2 linked regions of the Tamandua tetradactyla genome follow. The protein of the gene in region 1 purifies or fractionates together with the protein of each later gene. This does not show direct contact. Links are inferred from orthologs where the notes say so. Each region holds a gene or a part of one and is shown in the gene's direction. Other genes may lie near its edges.

What was found.
Region 2: the proteins of NAP1L4 (region 1) and NCL fractionate together in Homo sapiens (co-fractionation; 3 studies listed by BioGRID). This does not show direct contact. The link is inferred for Tamandua tetradactyla from reciprocal best matches to the Homo sapiens genes NAP1L4 and NCL.

What each region holds. Positions count from the first base shown.
Region 1 is NC_135335.1:2,765,017-2,776,152, reverse strand, and holds the start of NAP1L4 (nucleosome assembly protein 1-like 4), read left to right. Parts: upstream 1-6,570; 5' UTR 6,571-6,673; exon of another isoform or gene 6,674-6,699; intron 6,700-7,307; exon of another isoform or gene 7,308-7,513; intron 7,514-11,136. Other genes in the region: CARS1 (cysteine--tRNA ligase, cytoplasmic), read left to right, coding at 1,516-1,575, 1,887-1,970, 2,673-2,807. UniProt on the Homo sapiens protein: Acts as a histone chaperone in nucleosome assembly.
Region 2 is NC_135329.1:207,465,343-207,476,886, reverse strand, and holds the start of NCL (nucleolin), read left to right. Parts: upstream 1-6,440; 5' UTR 6,441-6,624; coding exon 6,625-6,642; intron 6,643-6,797; exon of another isoform or gene 6,798-6,836; intron 6,837-7,817; coding exon 7,818-7,934; intron 7,935-9,148; coding exon 9,149-9,629; intron 9,630-9,944; coding exon 9,945-10,148; intron 10,149-10,258; coding exon 10,259-10,345; intron 10,346-10,392; exon of another isoform or gene 10,393-10,462; intron 10,463-10,530; coding exon 10,531-10,669; intron 10,670-11,231; coding exon 11,232-11,356; intron 11,357-11,544. UniProt on the Homo sapiens protein: Nucleolin is the major nucleolar protein of growing eukaryotic cells. It is found associated with intranucleolar chromatin and pre-ribosomal particles. It induces chromatin decondensation by binding to histone H1.

The sequences.
Region 1 (11,136 bases):
GAAGCAGCCAGGCATGCCTGTGCTCTGTGCTTCTAGGCCTGACCCTTACAGCCCTGTTCCCCTCGTCTCAGGCGCCACCCCAGCCCATACTGCTCCTGCTTGCCCCACCTGGAGTTCTTGGGAGCTGCTTGCTGTGGCCACAGCACTTGGCCAGCTCCTGCATTCCCCAAATCCCTGTGTCTGGATTCAGGGGTGGAAATGCCGCTGCCTGGTCTTTTCAGGCCTGGTGGGCTAGACATGCAAGCAGCCTGGGGCCTTCGTGCCTGGTCCTCTGGTGGGGCACTGGTGCACGGGTGCTGGCCGGAGCAACGACCGGTGCCCTCTCGGGGTCCATGCTGCCGACCAACATAATCTCATACTGCTCAGCCTGTGCAAGGAAACACCTGGTGGGCTGGCAGCCGCCTTCTGCCCACCCCCACTCAGGGCTGGTGTGACAGTGATGGGATGCAGGGTGGGGGTGCTGGGCTGGCTGGGACCCCTGACCCTGCGAGGCTACCCCCTCTGTAGGTCACTCAGTACACCTTGGTGTGCGACTCTCCCCTGGAAGGTTCCGGCTAGTGCACACGCTTGTCTTTAAAAGAAAAGGGCCCATTCCTGCATTCATGCTCCCCACCCCTCCTTGCCCTCCCACTCAGCCTTATCTTGCCCCCTGTTCCTCAGACCCTCCTGAGCCCCTTGGCTGGCCCCTACCTCTGGGTCTCCCTCTAGCTACCCCCCCCCCCACAGCCTCACTGCCCCTTACTCACTCTCCCTTCCCTCCCAGCTCCGCAGCACGTACACCTCCACCCCTTCCAGTTTTCCAGCTAGTCTCCCTCCATCTTTCTGTCTGTGGTGACCCCAAAGCTCCCTCTGGCCCATGCTCCAGACTCTGAGACCCGGCTGCCTACTGGAAATCACTGCTTGGCTCCACAGCATCTGAAACTTAATATGTCTGGAAGGAAACTCTTTGATTCTCAACTCCCCAAACCTGTTTCACCTCCTTGTCCATGAATGGCACATCTGTGCACCCCGTGCTAGGGTCAAATGCGCTCCTGACCTGGCCTGCAAGCACCTAGCCACCTGGCGCCTACTGGCCCCTGCCCTCCCTCCCCTTTCTGTCTCAGGGCCTTTGCTCCTTCCCTGCCACCCCTGGCCTGCTCAGGGGTCGCCCTGCAGCACTGCTGTTCTCCACCCAGCTGGTAAAAGCCCTTGGCCTGGGCCTGGCTCATCACCTGGCCACTTGTCGGGAGTAGCTTGCAGGGGTGACCTCTTAAACCATGTGTTGGGTGGCTCTGTGGGTCCAAGCTGGAGAGGTGCTCGCTGTGCATGCTGGGGGGTGCTTGGGACTGAGTGATAAGCACCGATCCTGCTCAGTGTGCTGCCTGGTCCAGCTCCTTCCCAGTGCTGGGTCCCGGGAGGAGAGCAGGGTGGGGGTAGGGGGCTGGTCTTATGGAGACCCTGTGGGGCAATGTCCCCAGCCCCCTTCCCATGTTGGCCTGCAGGCCTGGTGCATCAGCCATTGTGCTGTTTTCCCAGGTTGAAGAGGAGAAGAGAAGGAAGAAGGAGGAGGCCGCCAGGAGAAAGCAGGAACAAGAGGTAAGGCGTGGGCTCGTCCAGGTGGGGAGTGTTGCCCCGAGGGGCTCTCTGTACACTTGGGCCCCGAGACCCTCATGCCCAGGCTCTGCCCTCTGCAGGCTCCACGTCATGGTGGTTCTCCATCGGCCTCCCCGCTGATGCCATAGGGGAAAACCTGCTCTGGCTTTAGACTGTCCCTCCGCCCTGCGTGTCCCCCTCCCTGTCTGTGGTCTCTGAATTGGAGGGCCTGGAAGCACTTCTGGCGGGAAGGTGCATGTGGTGGGGGGGGCTCCCGCTAGCCATGCGCTGCAGCCACATGTCCTGTGTCCCAGGCAGCAAAGCTGGCGAGGATGAAGGTCCCACCCGGTGAGATGTTCTTGTCCGAGCGTGACAAATATTCCAAGTTTGATGAGAACGTAAGGACTCACTTTTTTCTTTTTGGGGTGATGTCAGGCTGTGTCAAATTGGGATGACAGCAAATATCAACCTTGAGCTAGCAAGGTTTCTGTGTGGGGTGTTTGTAAGGGAAAAGGGATCACATGATGCCTTGTTCAAGGGTCTGCGCCCCAGGAGGTTCCTGTCCCGGGTGGGGGGGCGGGCCAAGGACCTGCCCTGACAGCCGGGCCAGCTTGGGTGGGCACACTTCCCTCCACCCTCATCCAGGCAGAGTTTGCTGTGGCTGCTGAGGTCACAGCCACAGCCGGTTTAGACAGGCTGGAGATGGGGCCTCCTGCAGAGGGGTCGCCAGGGTCCCTGACAAGCTGGACCCAACTGCCACGTCAGCACAGCCCCGCGACTGCCCATAGGGGTCTGCACTCCTGCCTTCCTGTCCCAGCAAAGGCCTAGTAGTGGGGACCTCAGGGCTCCTGTGTCAGGACAGAGCACATGGCTCCGCGGGGTCCCTGCCCCCTCAACACCCTGAGGGAAGGGCACCCCTGACCCTGGCTGCTTCTCCCCCACTTTCAGTGGCCGGGCCTGGAGCCAGCTGAGGACTACGTGCCCGAGCAGGTGGATGTAACCCTCTGCCCCTGGGTCCCGGCCCCCTGAGGTTTGGGCACTAGGAGAGGCACAGGTAGTGGCGTGGGGGCTCACGCCAGGCTCCACTCTTGCCCTCGCAGGGTCTACCCACCCATGACACCGAAGGCAAAGAAATCAGCAAGGGACAGGCCAAGAAGCTCAAGAAGCTCTTTGATGCTCAGGAAAAGCTCCACAAGGAGTATCTGCAAATGGTTCAGAACGGAAGCCTGGAGTGAAAAGAGAAGGCGGCCGGCTGCGGGCGAGCTGTAGGGGTTGCGGGCGTGCCCCGACGCGTCCATCATGTTTACAGTTGTCTGCGTGTCCTAAGTTAAGAATTGTGTTCCTATAGCTTTGTGTCCTCGTCGGCTTTGAGACAGTCATAATAAATTTGTCCAAGCAGCGAGACCTGTGGCCCTCCCTCTGCGTCAACCCTGCATGCTCAGTGCTGGACCCGGGAGGTGCTGCCTGGTCAGCAGGCCCCCCATTGGGGTGCCCAGGCCCGTTGAGCCCTGGGGATTTCACTCCCAGGCCAATGGCTCTCAGTTAATCTCTGGTGCGCACGCATACTGGAAAGTGGCTAAGTGGGTGAAAGACAGGCTCCAGCTCCCAGAACCTGCTGACATCCCAGACAAAGGCTGCCCCTCCGCCTCTCCAGTCTAATGAATAAACAAACTGCAGATTCCCCTAAAGCCGTTCAGCATTTGGCAGAGGCCAAAACCGATGGCTCAGCGGGCCCAGGCCCTGGCAAGCTGCCCAGGGCTGCTGTCAGCACTGGTGAGTCCCTGGCTGCAAGGCCAACGTCAGCGCTGGAGTTAAGCCTGAGCTGCGTGGCCATCCCTGAACCACCGAGGAGGGCATCCACAAAAGCCACTACCTGCTTCATACCTGCAAAACCTTAGCACCAGATGGGAATCCATCAGGACAAGAGTGGCACTGGTGCTAAGGTGAAGCCATGCAAAGTGCTGCATGCCAGTGGGGCAACTTGGCAGGATCTAACTGGGGATTCATTTATCCTTTGTCCTGGCAGTGCCATCTTTAGGAACCTAACCCAAATACACAACGGCACAAGTCGGAAATGATGTGTGCGAATGCCAGCTCACTGCACACAATGCATGCTCAGAAGGCCAGGCGCCAATCGCCAGGTGACTCAGGCCAGTTCCCGCCCTGTGGCCTCTACTCCCAGTCAGCCATGGCGCCCATCCGGGTGCTGGGCGCCTGCTGCTTGGCCCCTCTTCATCCTCTCCCCACTCTGCATTTTCTCAGCTCATCCCAGACAGCATGCCTGAACTCCCACCCACTATGGGGAAGACTTCTGGAAGCACCCCAGGAGGGTCCGGCTCCTCAGGACAGCAAGGGCCACACAATATTCCACCATACGGATGGGCCCCGCTCTGTCCATTCATGTCAGCACACGTGGCTGCTTCCTCCTCGGGGTGATGCTGGGGCCCTGTCTGCACACCTGTCTTCAGTTCTTTGGGGTAGACGGCCAGCCTCATAACTTTCCCCTCATCAACTGAAAACCCATTTGCTCTGCCCTGATGCTTTATGTAAATAAACCCACTCAAGACTGCCATGGAGGACAGGAAATACTGTCTCAGTGCAGGCGGTGAGGAGTAGTGTCCCCCCATTTCAGAATAGACATGACTGGGACATCCTACAGGTCAGCTGCATGGGCTCCTCCTTCCCTTTTATGCTGAGGTCTGTCCAGCTAGCTGCAAAGACACAGCATCTGGACAGAGGCCTTGGGATGGGGTCCTTGGTGTCCCTGAACCCACTGCTCCCACTGCAGACGAGGACACTGAGGCTTGCCTGCCCTACCCAACCCAGCCCCTCAGCCCTTGGGAATCGCCGTCATGCAAATGCCCGCTCTGTGGCTCTTGCTCTTGCTCACCTCCCGTCAGGGCTACCCCCAAAGGGCTGTCTTTAGCGATGTCAGCCCCCCTGGCTATCTGTAGATCCCAGGAAGCTTTGTGCCGCTTGCTGCCTGGCCTCTGCAGCTACCATGGCCTCTGCTCCAAGCATACACCCACCCTGACCCTGGTGGCCTACTGCTCTGGTTCACAGGAACCCGCCCCTATCTCCTTTCCACCTGGAAGCCTTGCTGATGGGGGGGGGGGGGGTGTGCCAGGGGGCTGGATGGGGGGAGGCACACACAGCCCTTTTATTCCTGTGCCCTGCTGCACCGTCACCCATGGAGAGCTTTGGTGGGTGTTGCCCACGGGATGTGGCAACAAAGCGCCACTGATTAGTTGGCTTTAACCAACAGAAGGGTACTCTCCTCGTTCTGAAGGTCTGGAGTACATCAAGGTGCCTGCATGGCTGCACTCCCTCTGAGCTCTGCAGGTTCTGGCTGTGGCTTGCTGGCTACTCCGTGATGTAAGTGAGCCTCCACCTCCATCACGTGGCCGTCTCTGCGATGGTTGTCAGTGTGGGCTGCCCCCGACCCGATTCTGTCTGACCTCACCCTAACAACATCTTCAAAGATCCTATTCACAAACGAGTTCACGTTTACAGGTCCGGAGGTTGGGTCTTGACCACGTCTTCTGGGGGACACACGTCCATCCATAGCACCCACCTTCCCACTAATTGCTGGGGCGACCCTGGGGAAAGGCCACCCAGGGTACTTGGCCTCCGTCCTCTTCCACGGGGACCACGGAAACCCCGGGGGGCTTGAGCTGCCTGGATACCACCCACAGGTTCTACAGGCATCACCCGCTCCCCAGCTTCAGGTAGGGCTTCAAGAGGATCTGAATCTTTATTAAAGAGGAAAGAACCTCAGACCAGAAAATGCTAATTCTTCTCTTTCAGTTTCTTCTGTTGCTTATGCTCTCCTCCCTTTCCCCAAAAGCAAATCAGAAAATCCAAAGAAGGCAAATAGGAATCAAGAGTCCCCTCCCCCACCCCACCCACTCGGGACAGGGTCAGGCCACTGGACATGCTGATCACTGGAGGTTTTCCACCTACTGTGATGTCTTTAACGAACTCCCACCATGAGCCTTAGGATGCTTCCAAAATCCCCTCTTATAAAACGCCAAAAAAGTTGGAAGTTGTTTCAAAGGGAGCCCTACCCCAAGACAACATTTCTGAAAATAATGGACAAAGACAAAAGACCCACAACCCTTACTGGAGACGAGATTAGCCACCCTCAAAAAGTGGGGGCCTGGAGGCAATGATTTTCCAACCACATTGTCATCTCGCCCAAGCTGCCTTTGGCTCAAAGTTTTTCAGATTTCCGCGATGCAGGCAGGCTGGCGCGCTGGCTGGGTCCCGGCGAGTCCCAGATCGCCACTCCGCAACCCAGCTGCGGGCAGGCGGCACCGAAGGAGGGCCGGACCGGGCGGGCGAGGAAGGCCCCCCACGTCGTCCCCCCAGCTCCGCGGCCGCGTCAGGGCGCCCTCGGGGCCGGAGCGCCCCCACCCCGTTCTGCTGTGCCCTAGGTGCTGAGCGCAGAGCGGCTCAAAAAGGAAGCGTCGCCCGATCCGGGGCCTGAAGGAGTAACTGCAGAGAAGCGTCACCCCAAGGACGGGATGCGGAAGGGCTGGGTGGAGGGGACCGCACGTGCGAGGCTCCAAGGCTTGAGGACCCGGGACCGGAGGAGGGGGCTGACGGAGGGGACGGCCCCGGCGCTGGGGGTGGCTGCGGGCGGTCAGCGGGGACCGAGTCTGAGACCGGCGCAAGGCGGGCGGCAGGAGGGCAAGGTGGCGGCGCCGGCCGTGAGCCAGGGGTGGGGGCCCCGAGGGGCGCAGGCCCGGGGACTCGGCCGCGCCGTCCCCCACGTGGGTCCCTCCCGGGCGGCGGAAGGAGCGCCGAACCCGCTCCGCGCCGTCCCATGCCCTCATTTGCATACGGCCGCGCGCGGTGAGTGCGGCTCCTTACGGCGTCTTCCCTGCCGCTCCCTGATTGGTCTCCGGCCGCACCCCTAACGAGCGCCACCTGGCGCCGCGCCCGCCCAATCAGAGGCCCTTTTGCTGGCGGGAGGCGGGGCCAGGGGAGGGCGCGGACGGAGCTCACCCAATGGGAGGCGGCGTTCTTGGAGGCCACGGCGGCGCAGCAGCCCGAGCGAGAGGATCCGCCGTGCCGCCGCTGCCGCAGGAGGCGTGAGGTGCGGAGACGGAGGCCTCGGGCCGGGTAACGGCGCGCCGGGGCAGGCGGGCGGGGCGCTCGGGGTGGCGTCCGCGGGGCCGGGGCGGGCTGCGGGGCTTCCTCTCGAAAGGCCGCGGCGGGCCGCTCGGCGGCGCCCGGGCCAGGGGTGGGGCCCGCGCCCCTTCGGGCAGCGGTCCGAGGCCGGCGGGCGCGGGGCGGGAGACCGGCCCCTCCCCGCGTCCCCACCCGGGCCGCCGAAGGTCAGGAGGCGGCTTTGTTCTCCTGGCGGCCTCCCGGGGCGGCGTGGCCCGGCGGCGCGCCCTCTGCCCGGGCCGGCGCTCGGTTAGCGGTCCCCGCGGAGGGGCACTCGCCGCCGCTGGCGGAGGGCGGCGGCCGGGGCTCCCCGCGCGGGCTCTTTCCCGCCGAGCCGCGTGCGCTCAAATCTCCCGCGAACTCCGGCCGGACTCACGTGCTCTGACCTGCACGCCGGGCCCGCGGAGCGCCGAGCCGAGCCTCCCTCGGGGCTCCGCGTTCCTCGTGTGGAGAAGATGCTGCGAGACCGTCCGCCGCCCGCGCTCGGGGTTTCGCCGCCGAGCGATTGTGATCGCTTGTGTGGGTTCAGGGCGGGCGAACAATGGGGTTTTATTTCGCAGATTCGCTTGGGTGCAGGGCTTGCGTGACAAAGAAATAAAGACCTTTGTGTTGATCTTAGCTGTTGTTGGGAGCTCGATAGCCAGAGCGAGACGCCAGCAAGTATGTGCCCTCCTGCACAGGGGACTTGGTCTGCGGCATCTCACGCTAACTAGTGCACTGAGTAAACTGGGTCGGACCTGAGTTACCCAGTCAAGGTAGGCATCAGGTCTGTTTTACCATTTAAAATGCTGTAGAAAAGGAAAATAATGCTTCCCCCCATGTCATGCTTGGAACGTTACAGGCATTTCTTCCTTTTCAGGGAGATATGCTTTCATCTTCCGAGAGGGCCTTAAATCGCTACTCATTTGTATGTTTTACCTGGCAGTCAGTTAAGCCGCATGTTTTTTAACTGCTCCCTCCTTTTCTGAATACTTTTTGTTTGTCTCGGCAAAGGATTGCCTGGTGGTGATAGGACTTGAATCTTTCACGAATTTCAGCTTGGCGATTATGTTCAGCCCCGATGCAAGGTGGGAGATGCAGCTCGTCTTCAGTATCCAGAATTCTGATGCCAGCATTGAAAAGCTTTGGACCTCAAATACTGTGTCACATTACCCACGGGGGTAAAGGTGCAGGGGGTCTGTTCTCTTCACCTGCTTAAAGGATCTGTGATCCATTTAGGGCACATTGATTGGTTCTGACTTTGGATCAGGTACTTTCTCTGTCTTAATAATCCGTGCTCTGTCTTCCTGCACTTGAAATGATACACTGTATTAAAATAGGCCTTTGAAATCTCTCATATTAAAAATGTAGGTATGCAGAGTAAGCTGTTAGACCTAAAACTTAAGAATTTTTAATTTACTGTCTTCCTTGCAACTAATTTTAACAACTAATGTTAAATTGTCTGCTACATGCCAAGGATTTTTCTAAGGACTTGGCATGCATTACCTGATTTCATGGTAACCTGTGAGAAAGGTGCTGCTGTTTGTCCCATTTAATCAGGAAACTAAGGTCTTGTGAGGTTAAGAGTAATGACTTGTCCAAGGTGACAGAGTTGGTATTAAAACCTGGGCAGGTTTTCTCCAGAACCGGTGTCCGCCTCAACAGGAAAATCCACTGGTTTTGTTTAGTTCTTGTTGTTGAGTTTGTTTAGGTTGACTGCTTTTGTAGAAGAAATTAAAGGAGTTTTAATGGAGAATTATGTTTTCATTATTGCACTAAGCCCAACTGAAGTATAGATTATAAGGATTTGAGGCGATTGATTGTTTCCTGCTCAAAATTCAGGGCTCCTTCAGAAGACTAGCACATACATAGTAGAGTCAGATTATTTCAGATTGGGATTATCAATTGCTAGGAGAATAAATAATATCCAAGAGTAAAATGAACTTCAGGGGGAAGGGAGGTGGTGATAGAATAGGGAAATAGTCCAAAGATGAAATGAGTACCTGAAAATAAGGGAAAGGGAGATGGTTTAAAAACTGGAGTTATCTAGTAATTGAGTTGTTGAGGTGGAGCTGGCAGGAGGAAAAAACCTAGAAAATGTTTTCTCAATTTATTATCTGCTTCCTTGCATCTTAAAGATGAGAAGAAAAAATTTCTTTTGTCTTTTGAAGATGTGTTACCCTATTCTAAGATTTGAAAGGAGCAGTCAAAGATAAGGCCTTCTTGGTCAGCAGAAATACTGTTTCAAAATTTAATTTCCTGTAGAATCATAGTGATAGAAGGGAATCGTGAGGGCACCCTCATTCACATTGTATCTTCACATACATGATTTCATGAGTCATTTTAATATTTTACTGCTGTTTCACTTAAAAAGCTGTTCCCCTAAAACGGAGAAATAGAGTGCTGCAGCCCTGAAAGCATAGCTGTATACAATAATGGTTAAAAGTAACTGAAAAAGAAATCAGGCATCAATTAGAGATAAAATCAAAGCCAATTTGATTGGAATTAAGGTAAATCAAATACAGGGTAAAAGATGATAATGTATGAATTCTAAACTTCTACCTCCTGTATGAGCCCAAAGGCAGACAGGTTTATTATGTCTAGGACCTAAATTTTCTGTAACACAATCTCAACCATCTTGTCTCAGCAGCTCATTTTAACAACCCAGACTCCTGTGTCCAAAACGGAAATGATTCCTTGTGATTCTGTATAGTTTAATGTAATACCTGGGTACATCTCAGATTGTGGTGGGCTGACAATTAAAAAGTATTGGTAGAGGGCAGGCCACGGTGGCTCAGCAGGCAGAGTTCTCGCCTGCCATGCCAAAGACCCGGGTTCAAGTCCCTGTGCCTGCCCATGCAAAAAGTAAAAAAGTATTGGTAGAGTCTCTTAAGGGTTTGTGTGTGTGTGTGTGTGTATATATATATATATATATATATGGAACTATTAAACTGTCTGAGGAACCCCAGGTACCCCTCAATCATTAGAAACTCCCACCAAAATAGGACAAACCCTTGATTTTGAGGCTTGCCTTATGAAATTTATTTCTTTAGCAGAGAAACTAAGACTACTTTTTATTTATTTTATTTTTTTAATTTTTTATTAATTTAAAAAAGATTACAGGTAACACAAACATTCCCAACACATACACTCAGCAATTCACAATATCATCACATAGTTGCATATTCATCATCATGATCATTTCCCAGAATATTTGTATCAATTCAGAAAAAGAAATAAAAAGACAACAGAAAAATTAAACAAAAACAGAAAAAAAAATTTTATATGCCATACCCCTTAACTCCCTTGCATTGATCACTAGCATTTCAAACTAAATTTATTTTAACATTTGTTCCCCCTATTATTTATTGTTATTCCATATGTTCTACTCGTCTGTTGACAAGGTAGATGAAAGGAGCATCAGACACAGGGTTTTCCACAATCACGCAGCTAAGACTACTTTTAATAAGGCCTGAGAGTTGCTTCCAGAAAACCTCTTCTGTGGCTCAGATGTGACCTTTCTCTCTCTAAGCCCAACTCTGCACGGAAAATCATCACCTTCCCTAGTACTTGGAATATAACATTCCGGGGTGAAAGTCTCCCTGACAATGTGGGGCGTGACTCCTGGGGATGAGTTTGGCTCCAGTACCTTGGCATCAATAACATTTCCAGACCTAAAGAGGGAAAAGAAGTGTAATAAGGCATCAGTGGCTCAGAGAGATCAAATAGAGTCCAGAGACTATTCTGGAGGCTACTCTTATGCAGGCTTCAGTTAGATAGTGCCTGTTACTTTGGTGTACTGAACCCTAACCGACATCACTCCTTTTGACCTAGGGCTTGAACTGAGACTCTATAAAAGTTTCATGTACTGTGTTTTTCTGAAACCTACGATTTCCAGAAGGATCAAAAGAGAAGGAGTTATAACACAGAAAATAGAATTTAACAAATGTGTATGACTGCTGAATCACTGTATTGATATTTCTTCTAGTCTCCAGTGTTTTGGAGCAGCTAAAAGAAGGAATCTGAAATAGTGGAATGGTAATCCATAACAAACTCTGAAATCTGTTCTGTAACTACTTTTTGAAAATTCTTGCGTTTTTTTCTTTGTGTGTGTATATATATATATATATATATATATATTTCACAATAAAAAATGAACAGTTATTACACACATATATCCAATCCTTTTTTTTCTGGTTGATCAGTGTTAACTGAGTCAAAATGTCTGCACTTAACCTGTGCCGGCATATTATAACATCTAAATACTTCCACTGTGAATTTTGTTATATGAGCTTTGAATCTTGTACTTGTTTCAAAACCAGTATAGAACTGTTTGGAGAAATTGATTGAATTCCTTGTAATGGCTGATTGTTGCTTTCAAGTTTGGTAGCCTTGTTTAACTGAATTCTG
Region 2 (11,544 bases), on another chromosome or scaffold:
GGGGCTGGAGGGGTTGGGCAGCTGCTGTTCCCCAGGCTTTCCAGAAGCTTGCTCCCATAGAGAAGGGCAAGAGGATATTACAAGGAAGGCTGTGGTTGAGGAGGCCTCTAGGAGGGGGCAGGGTGTGGTTTTAGAGACTCCACCTTCCCCTGGGCTGGAAAAAGGAGAAAGCCAAGCACAGCCAGGGCTGTAAATTAATCAGAAGGTGGCAGTGCCCCTGGGGAGGTCTATTTCCTTCTGTGAGCTGGAGAGGAAGCCCTGGTGGTGGTGGTGGGGGGGGGCTCTGGAAGAAGAAGCTTGGAATAGACACCATGGAAACCATCAGGGGCTTCTGACGATTCTCTGGGCAGTGCAGGGAGCCAGGGCCGTTTGGAAACCCTGGATTGCAGCATATCAGAATTTCTCTCCAGCAGGGCCAGCCAACCTCCCCAGTGGAGGAGAAGGGGTGCTGACCCTGTGCCTGGACAAGGGGATGGCAAGAAGCAGGTGTCTGCTCTCTGTGCTCCTCCAGCAGGCTCAAGGGACTCTAGGTTGTGGGTGCAGTTGGCTGAGCTGAGGGGCGACTCCTGAGTCTCCAAGTTAGACGGAGCTTCTCAGGCCAGCTTGGGGAGACTAAGGCTAGGAGGATTTAGGACTCTGGCCCCTGAGCCCAGAAGATACCAGGTTGTGCAGCGGAAGACTGACCAATAGCTGAGCAAGGGAGGAAGCCCTTAGGATTCCCTTTTGGGATCTGGCTAAAAGTTCTGGGAGGCACGTGAAGGTCTCAGGGAACCCAAGAAGAGAGAAGTAGGCTAGGCTGGTAATGTAACTTCCCTCTGCCCAGCTGCTGAGCAGAGACCCCAGGCCTCTGGGCTCAGGCAGGCTTGGGGCCCTGATGAGAGACTGAGCAGAAGTGGGGTTCCTGAAGCAGTACCAGTTGATCCTATCTGTCCTGATTGTGGTGGCCCCAGAGCTCTGGGAAGGCGAGACAGTGCAGCAGTTCCCCAGACGTGGGACTGGGTGGGTGTGCCACCACTGCATACCCTAGGGGCACTGCTCCAACAGCGGGAAGTTGGGCTGCCTACAGGACCAGTCCAGAAGCCCCGGACTGCCTTGAGCAGCCACAGCCACCTCTTCAGGCCCACAGGGCTGTGGCCTGCCCACCCACTGCCCCCCACCCAGGGTGGCTGTACCCCGAGGTACCCACTCAGGGCAAGCAGGATCCTGATCCAGTCATTCAGTGGGCCACAGAAGCATCCAGAAGACCTGGAGGGTGTCACAGGTCTTCAAAAGGGCTAACTCCAATTCCAGTTCAGTCTAGGAACTGAATACCCAAATGGAAAAATATTTACAACAGAGGGAGTTGAATGCAGGGAATTGGTTACCCAGGTGGCAGAAGAGCTGAGAAGCCATGCATGGTCATGAGGCAACCGCAGGAAGCTGCCACCACCTCGGGCTGGGGTCTGCAACTAAGGCAGTTGCCAATGCTGAGGGGCTGGGGGAGGGTGCTGTGTCCCCCAAAAACAGATGTTGAAGTCTTACTCCCCAGGACCTGAGAAGGTGGGCTCTTCTGGAAATAGGGTCCTTACAGATGGAATTAGGCAAGTTAAAATAAAGTCATACTAGATGAGGCTGGGCCCTTAATCCAACATAGTTGGAGTCCTTCCAGGAAGGAGAAGAGACAGAGAAGACAGAGAAGAGATGCCATGCGAAGATGCATGCAAGAAAGAAGGCTGTGGTGAGATGGAGGCAGAGACTGGAGTGGTGTGCCACAGGGAAGGACCTCCTGGAGCCCATGGCAGCCAGAGAAATGCCTGGAACGGATTCTGCCCCAGAGCCTTTGGAGTGAGCACAGCCCTGCTCAACCTGATGTCAGACTTGTGGCCTTCAGAACTGTGAGACAACATATTTCTGCTGTTTTGAATCACCCAGATGGTGGTACTTTTGTCAAGCAGCCCTGGGAAACTAAGCGGGGGTTTAACCTGTCATCTCCCTTTCTCCTCCTGAGTTCTGGTTCTCCCACTGGGCAAACCCAGCCAATACCCAGCTAACACAGGGCAAGACCCCTGCAAGGCAGCAGAACACGGGAAGGGAAGGCAACGGATGGAAGGCAGGCAGGTCCATCACGGGGACCACCTACCAATAACCTTCCATGCAGTGGCCCCCAGCTCATATCCCACCACTGCTCAGCCTCTCCTCAGGGCCCCAAGCCTGCCTGAGCCCAGAGGCCTGGGGTGTCTGCTCAGGAGTTAGAAGATGGGCAGAGGGAAGTTCCCTTTACCAGCCCAGCTTCTCTCTTCTTGGGTTCCCTGAGACCTTCACATGCCGCCCAGAACTTTCAGCCAGATCCCAAAAGGGAATCCTAAGCTCTTCCTCCCTTGCTTGGCCTGTCAGCCGATCTTTCCCTGCACGCAGGGTTGAGGCAACCCAGTGCCTCCTGGGCTCAGGAGCCAAGTCCTAGATCTCCCTAGTCTTAGTCTCCCTAAAGCTGGCCTGAGAAGGCAGCACTTGAAAAGGCGTCTATCACACTGGAAAATGCCATTTGACCCAGTTGTTCTACTTTTAAGTATTCTGCAGAGCTATTTGTAAATGTGCAAAATAAAGCACATAAGAAGGGAATTTACTACAGCAGCCTGTAATAGCAAAACATAGGAAATTACACTAACTGTTCAGCAGTGGGATCTGGTTAAATAAATTATGATCCTTTTACATAAGGGGCAGTCTGTAGCTATCAAAAAGAATGACACAGCTCTATTTGCCCTGATGTGGAATGAGTTACAAGACAATCTATTTTTTTTTTAAAAAAGAAAGTTCAGAAAGAATGGCACATACAGTATGACAACATTTGTATTAAATATAATAACTATACCTAGCTGCTTGCACATGCATTGCCTGAATCTGGAAGGACAAACAAGAAATTCCAGTGGTCACTGCCTCTGGAACCAGGCAGCAAGAGATGGAGGGGAGCAAGGCAGTTTTACTGTTTTTTTTTTGGATCTCTTGAATTTTGTGCCACGTGCCTGGTTTATAATTCAAAAAAACAAATAATTCATTTTTTGAAACTGAAAAAGAAGCATCTGTACTACAAACCGCTGCTCTCCCCTCACCCCCCACCCCATCCCACACCTGTTCTGTGGCCTGGTTAGTTACAGATTGCGGATGGAGGAGAACACTTGGACTCTGGTGGGCACGCAAATAAGCAGGAAGCAGTCTTACTTAAATTCCTGGGAATGTGGGTAGCCACCTGTGGTTTCCCCTTCAGGATTTCATATTTAAAGCCCTTGGGGATGTGGATCTAATTCTTCTTTGCCTTATCCTTACTTACTTTTTAGGCAGACTTGGGAAAGGACACAAAAGTTATTGCTATCATTTAAAGGATGAAAAAATCCAAGCCCAAGAACATGCAGCAAAGAGGCAGTATTTCACGCTTGCCCACCCATCATAACATGCCATGGCAGCTTCAGATATTCCACTTTCCATCATCCAAGGCATTTGGATCTCTCCAGGGAGACCCACCCAAGGTAGTATCTGGCTCAGAGCAGTAATCTGTTCTTCCCTAGCCTGCTATAGGCAATTTACTTTATCTGGTGTTTATGTTTCCTTTAATTCAATCCTTTGGAGGTTAAGAACTCGTTCTGTTCCTCTTTCCTGGACCTCTCTGCTCAGGAGGTTCCCATCCAACCTTCCCTCCCTTTCCTCTTAAAAGGCAGCATCTTTTTCTTCCAGAAGAGACCAGCAAACGAGAATGGCTTTGATTCTCATCGCCAAACTCTATCCACTCAGGAATTATTTACTAAGCACTTGCTCTGCACCAGGTAACCTTCTCAACAGTAAGTCCAGCCCCCCAGAAAACTACATTCCAGGGTACACTTCCGCCCGTGTCTGCTGTTACCTTTATTCTCAGATTGATCTGGACCAGGAGGTACCCTGTGTAGTTCTAGAATCTGCCCTTGCTGAATCTCATGCCCTCTGTTTTCTCCTCTGACCCTCTGTCTCTTGACTGGCTCCTTCCTCCTAGGCTGTTAGAGAGCCGGACAGAGCAAATGCCCTGTCCCAGGAGCCACGAAACACCTACACCCAGGGTCTCCACTTCCCATCCATCCCTGTCCAAATTACCATGACTCTGAACTCCACATCCAGAAGGCACTCTTTAGGACTTACCTTATTTAACCTTCTTGTCACACTGGACATTATTCCTTCTTTCTTTTCCTGGATACTCTTCTCCTTGGCTTCCAAGATGCCCCTCTTCTCTAGCTTGGCTCCTGCCTTTGGGCCTTCCTCTCCCACCCCCATTGGGCCTGGGTCTGCCCAGCTTTGCCTCTTCCCACTCAGGCTGCTATTCTGGACAAGATCCTCGGCCATTCTGTGTCTAACCCCATGATGGCTACCACCCCAGGGATGACTCCTCAGTCTGCAAGTCATGGCTGCCTTTTTCTTACACTTGGCCTTGCAGAACCAATCGCCCATGGCCCCTCCCCACCTGAATATTCCTCGCACACCTCAAACTCAACAGGCCCAACCCTGAATTCATCAGCTTTCCCCAAACCCACAGCCATGCCTGTATTGTCCCATTTACCATACACAAACAACAGAAAATAGAAATGTTATCTTTCTCTTTAGTCAAGTCACCAAGTTTGAAAATAATAATAACGGTTCATATTTATTGAGGGCCCTCAAAAACACACATGTATTATCTCAATCCTCATAACAACCCAGGAGGCAGATACTATTATTACCTAGAGGTGACAGGGTAGGGGCTCGATTGAATCCCTAGCTCCTTCACTTACTGTGTGACTCTGGACAAGTTATTTTACCTCTCTGTGCCAGCTTCGCTTCTGTAAAACAGAGATAACTTTTTAGTAAGGTTGTTTTGAATATTAAACGAGTTGATATATACAGCAGGAGAACAGTGGCTAACACTTAGTATGATAAAACTATTAGGTATGACTATTTTCTCCATCCCAGATGCCAAAGTAACACACTTTAACACTAAGCTATAACGGCTCCGTCTGCTGCTTATTTTACTTAAAAACCGCATGCATTTATTTAACAAATAATTTCCAACACTACTGTGCTAGGAATACAGCAGAGAATAAAGCCTATGTTTCACGGAGGGGGAGAGACGACAGACAAAAACTGGCCCTAGCTCCCTGCCCTGCCCCGTCCTGTGCAGGGAATCCAGGGAGAGCTGTGGGCTTCCTATACACTTTATCTCAAGAGTGTGCCAGCAAGAATGGCAAAAATAACTTGACTGCTCCCAAGAATCCCGATGGGCCCTTGTCAGAATACAAAATTTTGGGCCCCAACCCAGACGTCTTTAAGTAAAATCTCCAGGGGACGTTTTCACCATCACTTCAGTTTGGAAAATGGCACAGGTATCCTGGCTTTGTATGAACACTTTGGTACCATATGCCCAGATATATTCTAGGCGAGCTCTAAACTGAAGAAGTGCCGTGGTTTGTTCTATTAGGCAGCAATTATAAATTAAGTTCCACCCGCAAGGCAACCCACCCGAATAGGTGGCAAAATCACAATGTAAAGACAATCTTCTGCGCCTCCTCCATGGAGGGTACATCTCCTTCGGCTCTTCTGACCTGCTCCTGGGCCACCTTGCGTCAGGCCTCGCAGCCTTCACATTTTAATGGGTGCTTTAACCCCCAGTTAACAAAGAGGGACCTTGCTAGGCCGTCAAAGGCCCGGCCCCGCGGTCTGCCTGCCCAAGAGCCTCCTCTCCCGACCCCACAGCTATAAAACTGAGAGGGCCAGAAAGCTCTCTCTCTGAGCTTGGGGAAGATACCTACGCACCGGGTTACCGTGAAATTAAATGCGATTTCTGTGCCGTGCTCGGCAGCGCCTGAACCTGAGTTCCTCCAAACATAACGCATTGTCTCCATTAACATGTTTGAGGAGGCAGCCGCGGGCACGTGGCCCGGAGGGGAATCACCTGTGGCCAGGGGCACGTTTCTGGCCCCTAGTCCCTCGTACGGCGCGGGATGGGGTGGGACAGTGCGAACCAGGTGGACCCTCAACTTCCGGTGGGCTCGGGCTCATCAGTAGAAATATGGTCACACTCCTCTCTCAGCGGGCAGCGCAAGCCGGGCCCGCGCCATGAGGACCAGGCCGCATTCGCGAGCCCGGGACCACTCGTCTCCAGCGCCACTGGTCCGGGGCACACCAGGCGCCAAAAATGCCCGTCAGACGGCGCAGGCGCCGCGAGTTCTGGCAACGCAGGGTCTGCGGGACCCGCGCTCCACGGCCCAATCAGCGCTGGCCAAGCACAAAGCGAGTCCCGTCCCCAGGACGCCGCCGCCGAGCCCCTCCCCCTCCCCCGGCCGCCCGCGCCCTGCCCACTCCCGCCCGCGCCCCGCCCCGCGCCGCGCTCGGGTACTGGCTCGCGATTGGTCCGTGGGGAGGACGCGAGCTCTGGTTGGTCAAGGCACAGTCACGAGGACGCCGTCGTCGCCTTTCCAGAGGCGATTACTGGGCAGGCTCAGTCTTTCGCCTTAGTCTCGAGCTCTAGCTTGCAGCCAAGGGCCGCGCTCCGGCATCTTCAGTAGCTGCGGCCGCCATCGACGTCGCTTGGGTTTCTCAGGGCTCACCTGCGCCACTCTTTCGCCTCACACTCCGCCGTTATAATTCGCCATCATGGTGAAGCTCGCGAAGGTAAGAGGCCTTGCCTGTGCAAGGACAGACGTCGAGGCCTGTTTCCCAAGGAGCGCGCGCGCGGCGCCGCGAGGAAGGCCTGTGCGCCGTCCCGGGCGCGTTCGAGTTCCGCCATGCTGAGGGAAGTCTCGCGCGATTAGCGGGAGGTCTCGTGGTTTGGGACTACATGGCGGCGAAGTGAAGAGTATCGGCAGGTGCGCGCGGTGGCGAAGGCGGCGGTGTAGGACTGCGGGAATGAGCGCGGGGCGCGGGGCCGCGGGGCCGCGGGGCGGAGGGATGAGGCCGAACTCCTGCGACGCGCGCGAGGTGGGCCCCGCCTCCTGACGCACGTGCCCGGGTTACGCGCGCGGCCCGCCACGTGGGCCTCAGCGCGTGGATCCTGGAGTCTCCCGAAGGCACTTGGTCCTGGGGTCTCCCGAAGGCACTTGGTCCTGGGACCGACACAGGCGGGATTGAGTTTAGCCGGTGGCCTTAGGCCCCACTGCCCCCTTTTCAAGACGGGCGGACACGTGGTGGGCTACGGAAGGAGACCCTCAGTCAGTGCTTTCTGCGCGCACATGGTGGCTTGTGAGGTACCCCACATGGCTGCTCCAGGTCTGGAATGGGTAGGGTTGTGTTTTTCCCCTTGGAAAGGGAAATTTGATGAGCAGTCAAAATATAGTTACATTAGAGGGCGATGAGAAAAGGTTACTTTAAAAATTCTCGTTCATAATTTGAACCCAGGTGAGGATGGCGGAAGAAAGTGCCAAGATTTACTAAAGGCTTTTTGGATATTTTCACTAGGGTGAAGAGCGATGAATTGTTAGTTGTAAAATGGTCCAGTTGCAAGTCACTGTGTGTTTAAAAGTGCTGTATAGGCAGTGTCATAATTCAAGCTAGAAGTAATGTTTTTAAAACGGCGATGTAGTTGAAGAAGGCAGTAGTAAAAAAGATGCTTTACTGAAGTTGCTTTTTTAGTCACTGGGGGTTATCTACTTGTAAATCTGACAGAAAAAAATGGGTGGGAGATTTAGGATCCTGTTGTACGTCTGTGGTAGTTTTTAGGTTAATTGTGGCATTTAACTGAAAAGTAGAGTCTAAAGAAGAAGAAAGGAGATAACTGCATTTTATTATGAAGAATAAGAGGGGCATGAAATGGCAAAGGAGATGTAATGTGCTAATTGTGTCCATTTCAGGCCGGTAAAAATCAAGGTGACCCCAAGAAAATGGCTCCTCCCCCAAAGGAGGTAGAAGAAGATAGTGATGATGAGGAAATGTCAGAAGATGAAGAAGAGGATAGCAGTGGAGAAGAGGTAATTAAATACAACTTAATGAACTGTAATGGCTGTGTGTCTCAGAAGCTCTTCATTGACATTTGAAGATAACATTTGGGTAGTTATGAGTTTGAGAACCAAAAGAAGACCTGGAGGCTTACATAACACCTTTCTATCGGCCTATGCTGCTGTTGTGTTAAAGGATTCCATTTTTACATTTTTTTGGTTTCATTATATTAGCCCTACATGCTAGAAGAGGAAACTGGGCAATTCAAGTGACAGCTGAGTATACAGGTTTTAAGGACCCCGTGTTTCAGTCTTACTGTTTTCCCCTCTGGTCTCCAAGTAGGATTAATTTTGTCTATATTCTGTTGTGTATAAGTTTTATAACACTAATTATATAGGGCAGTTATCTCTAGTTTGGATTGAGGCCTGCCACCTCCCCTGTCTACTGTTTCATTACTAAGGACAACTGATTAATGTGCCTTTTGCTCAGATTCCCTTTTTAGAATTTATAAAGGCTTTACTCTTCCACTGTCAATAGGTAAGACTAGTAGTCTACAAAAAGTAGCTTTAGTTCACTGTGAACAAACTTAATCTACTAAGTGTTGATAAATGACTTTATTAATGTGTGCTCCATAATTTGTTACCGTTTTGCCAGGGTTCACTTTTTAATCTTTGGTCATGAGTAATTGACTTTTTAAAGAGTGCTCTACCCATTACAGGAGCCCCAAATAATGTAGTAAAAGGTAACACTAAAATTTTTTTTATGTGCAAAACGTTTAAGTAGTTTACATATATCAACTCACTAAATGCTTAAAACAAAATGAAAAGTTGGTACTATTTTCGGATAGGGAAAGTTGAGGCTGAGAATACTTGGAAAATCTGCTCAAAGCTACAAGTCATTTTAAAAAATGTGACCCAGGAACTGAAGTCTGGTTTCTTGCCTTTTAAGTGTTGAGGAGGTGCTTATAGTTGGGTATTTTACCTTAATGCAAAAACGAGTGCTGTAACTTTACAGTACATTGAGGGGCATGTAATATGTGTGACCCTAGACTTTAGAATGGCCTTAATGTGTGTAGTCTTTATTTTTGGCACGGGCAGACTCTGGGAATCGAACCTGGGTCTCTGGCATGGCAGGCAAGAATTCTGCCACTAAGCCACGATTGCACCACCCTGCGTGTAGTCTTGAATCAGATGAGCCAGTAATTGGTACTCATTTGTGGGACCACGGCTGCCTTTTTATTTTCCAGGTTGTCATTCCTCAGAAAAAAGGCAAGAAGGCCATTGCACCTCCGGCAAAGAAAGTGGTGGTTTCCCCAACAAAAAAGGTTGCAGTTGCCACACCTGCCAAGAAAGCAGCTGTCACTCCTGGCAAAAAAGCAGCCGCCATACCAGCCAAGAAGACAGCTACACCAGCCAAAGCAGTAGCAACATCTGGCAAGAAGGGGACCACACCTGGCAAAGCAGTGGTAGTGGCATCCACTGGTAAGAAGGGAGCTGTGGCCCCAGCCAAGGGGGCAAAGAATGGTAAGAATGCCAAGAAGGATGACAGTGATGAGGAAGATGATGAAGACAGCGAGGAAGAGGATGAGGATGATGATGAAGATGAATTTGAGCCAGCAGTGATGAAAGCAGCAGCCACTGCTTCTGCCTCAGAGGATGAGGATGATGATGAGGATGAAGATGATGAAGACGATGATGATGATGATGATGATGATGATGAAGACGATGGTAAGGAGTTCTCTTGGTAGTTTCTAGGCTTCTGGTTTGCAAGGTACCTTAGAGGTGAGGTTATAGAAACAGTTCTACATACTCCTTCTAGCAACTCAGAGGTCATCTCTGGGCTGGCACCGACATTTAATTTACCCATGGAAAGTTTGCCCCATGCTGATGTGCCTAAAGCACGCTCTGGGAGGATTCTCTATTGTGTAGGATTTCGTTTGCAAGAGACCTTGAAATACTTGCTGCTGAAGCATGGTGGCATTTCTTTTAGATTTTTCTATTGTTGGTTTCTCCTGTTTCTGAGTATGCTTGACTCTCTTTTAGACTCTGAAGAAGAAGCTATGGATACTACCCCAGCCAAAGGGAAGAAAGCTCCTGTAAAAGCTGTTCCTGTGAAGACCAAGAGTATGGCTGAAGATGAAGAGGATGAAGAGGAGGAGGAAGAAGATGATGACGATGAGGAAGATGATGATGAGGACGATGATGAGGATGACGACGAAGAGGAGGAGGAGGAGGAAGAAGAGGAAGGTAATCAAATTAGTTTTTGAAGTACTCTGACCTGAATTTTGTTTAAAGAAAGATACTTGAGAATGTGTGGGTACTCGTTGATGACATAGGTTGTTTGAAATCTTGTTCAGAGCCTATCAAAGAAGCATCTGGAAAACGAAAGAAGGAAATGTCCAAGCAGAAGACTGCTCCTGAAGCCAAGAAACAGAAAGTAGAAGGTAATTTGAGAATTTGGGGAGGAGGGTTATGGGGAAGAAAGTCTGGTTACACAAATGATGAATGACAAAGGGACTTAATACTGAGACCTGATGTCACGTTGTAATATGCTGATGTGCTGTGTGTAGGAACTGTAGTGGAAATTAACTTTGCACTGTTGACTAATTTAAGCTCTGTTTTTGTATAGCATTAGAAACTACAGCTTTCAATCTTTTTGTTGGAAACCTGAACTTCAACAAATCTGCCCCTGAATTGAAAACAGGGATCAGTGACCTTTTTGCTAAAAATGATCTTGCTGTTGTGGACGTCAGAATTGGTGTGTCTAGGTAAGTAATGTTGACATGATTTGGGGGTGGGTTGGGGGGAGGTTTAGACAACAGTATTTCCTTGTATATTACATTTGGGCCTACTAATGGCTTTTTTTCCCTCTACCTACTAGCTACAGATAGTTCAGACTTTATCATGGTATAAATTATTTGTGTCCCATGTACAGAATTTCAGAATTGAAATTTCTTGTGATGTAGCTTAACTTGGTGTAGTGCAAAATTTCTTAAGTAATTTGATGCCTATATTCCTGGAAATGATTGAAAACCAGTAGACCCAAGTAGCTATAGGATTTTCTCATTTTAGCTCAAGCAGTACCTTTGTCACAATTTGAAGATTGTTACGAGCAGCATAGGTGAGCTTGCATCAACTCTTGGTACTTAGACCTTGCTCTGTAGCCACAATGTACACAGTCCAAAGCCTTGGATTTTATTGTGTTAATTCTGTAGGTGCTTTTTAACTTAATATGTTTGTGCTATTACATCAGTGGTGTTGGTTTGTCAAAATTGTGTATTGTGCAAACTTTTTTCACCTGTAACCTTCCCCCCCTCCTTTGCTTTAAAGGAAGTTTGGCTATGTGGATTTTGAATCTGCTGAAGACCTGGAAAAAGCATTGGAGCTCACAGGTTCAAAAGTGTTTGGTAGTGAAATTAAATTAGAGAAACCAAAGGGAAAAGACAGTAAGAAAGGTATGTAAGGGTTTAGGTGATATCGAAACTGATGGGTAACATGCTCCATAGGTAGATGTACAGTTAGGGAGTAGTATGAGGTGTGGCGATTAAGAGCAGGGTTTAGGAGCTAGATTGCAAGTGATTGAACCCCTTTCTCTTGGTTTCCCTGTAGTGTCATAAGGATGAAGTGAGTTAGAATATGTTAG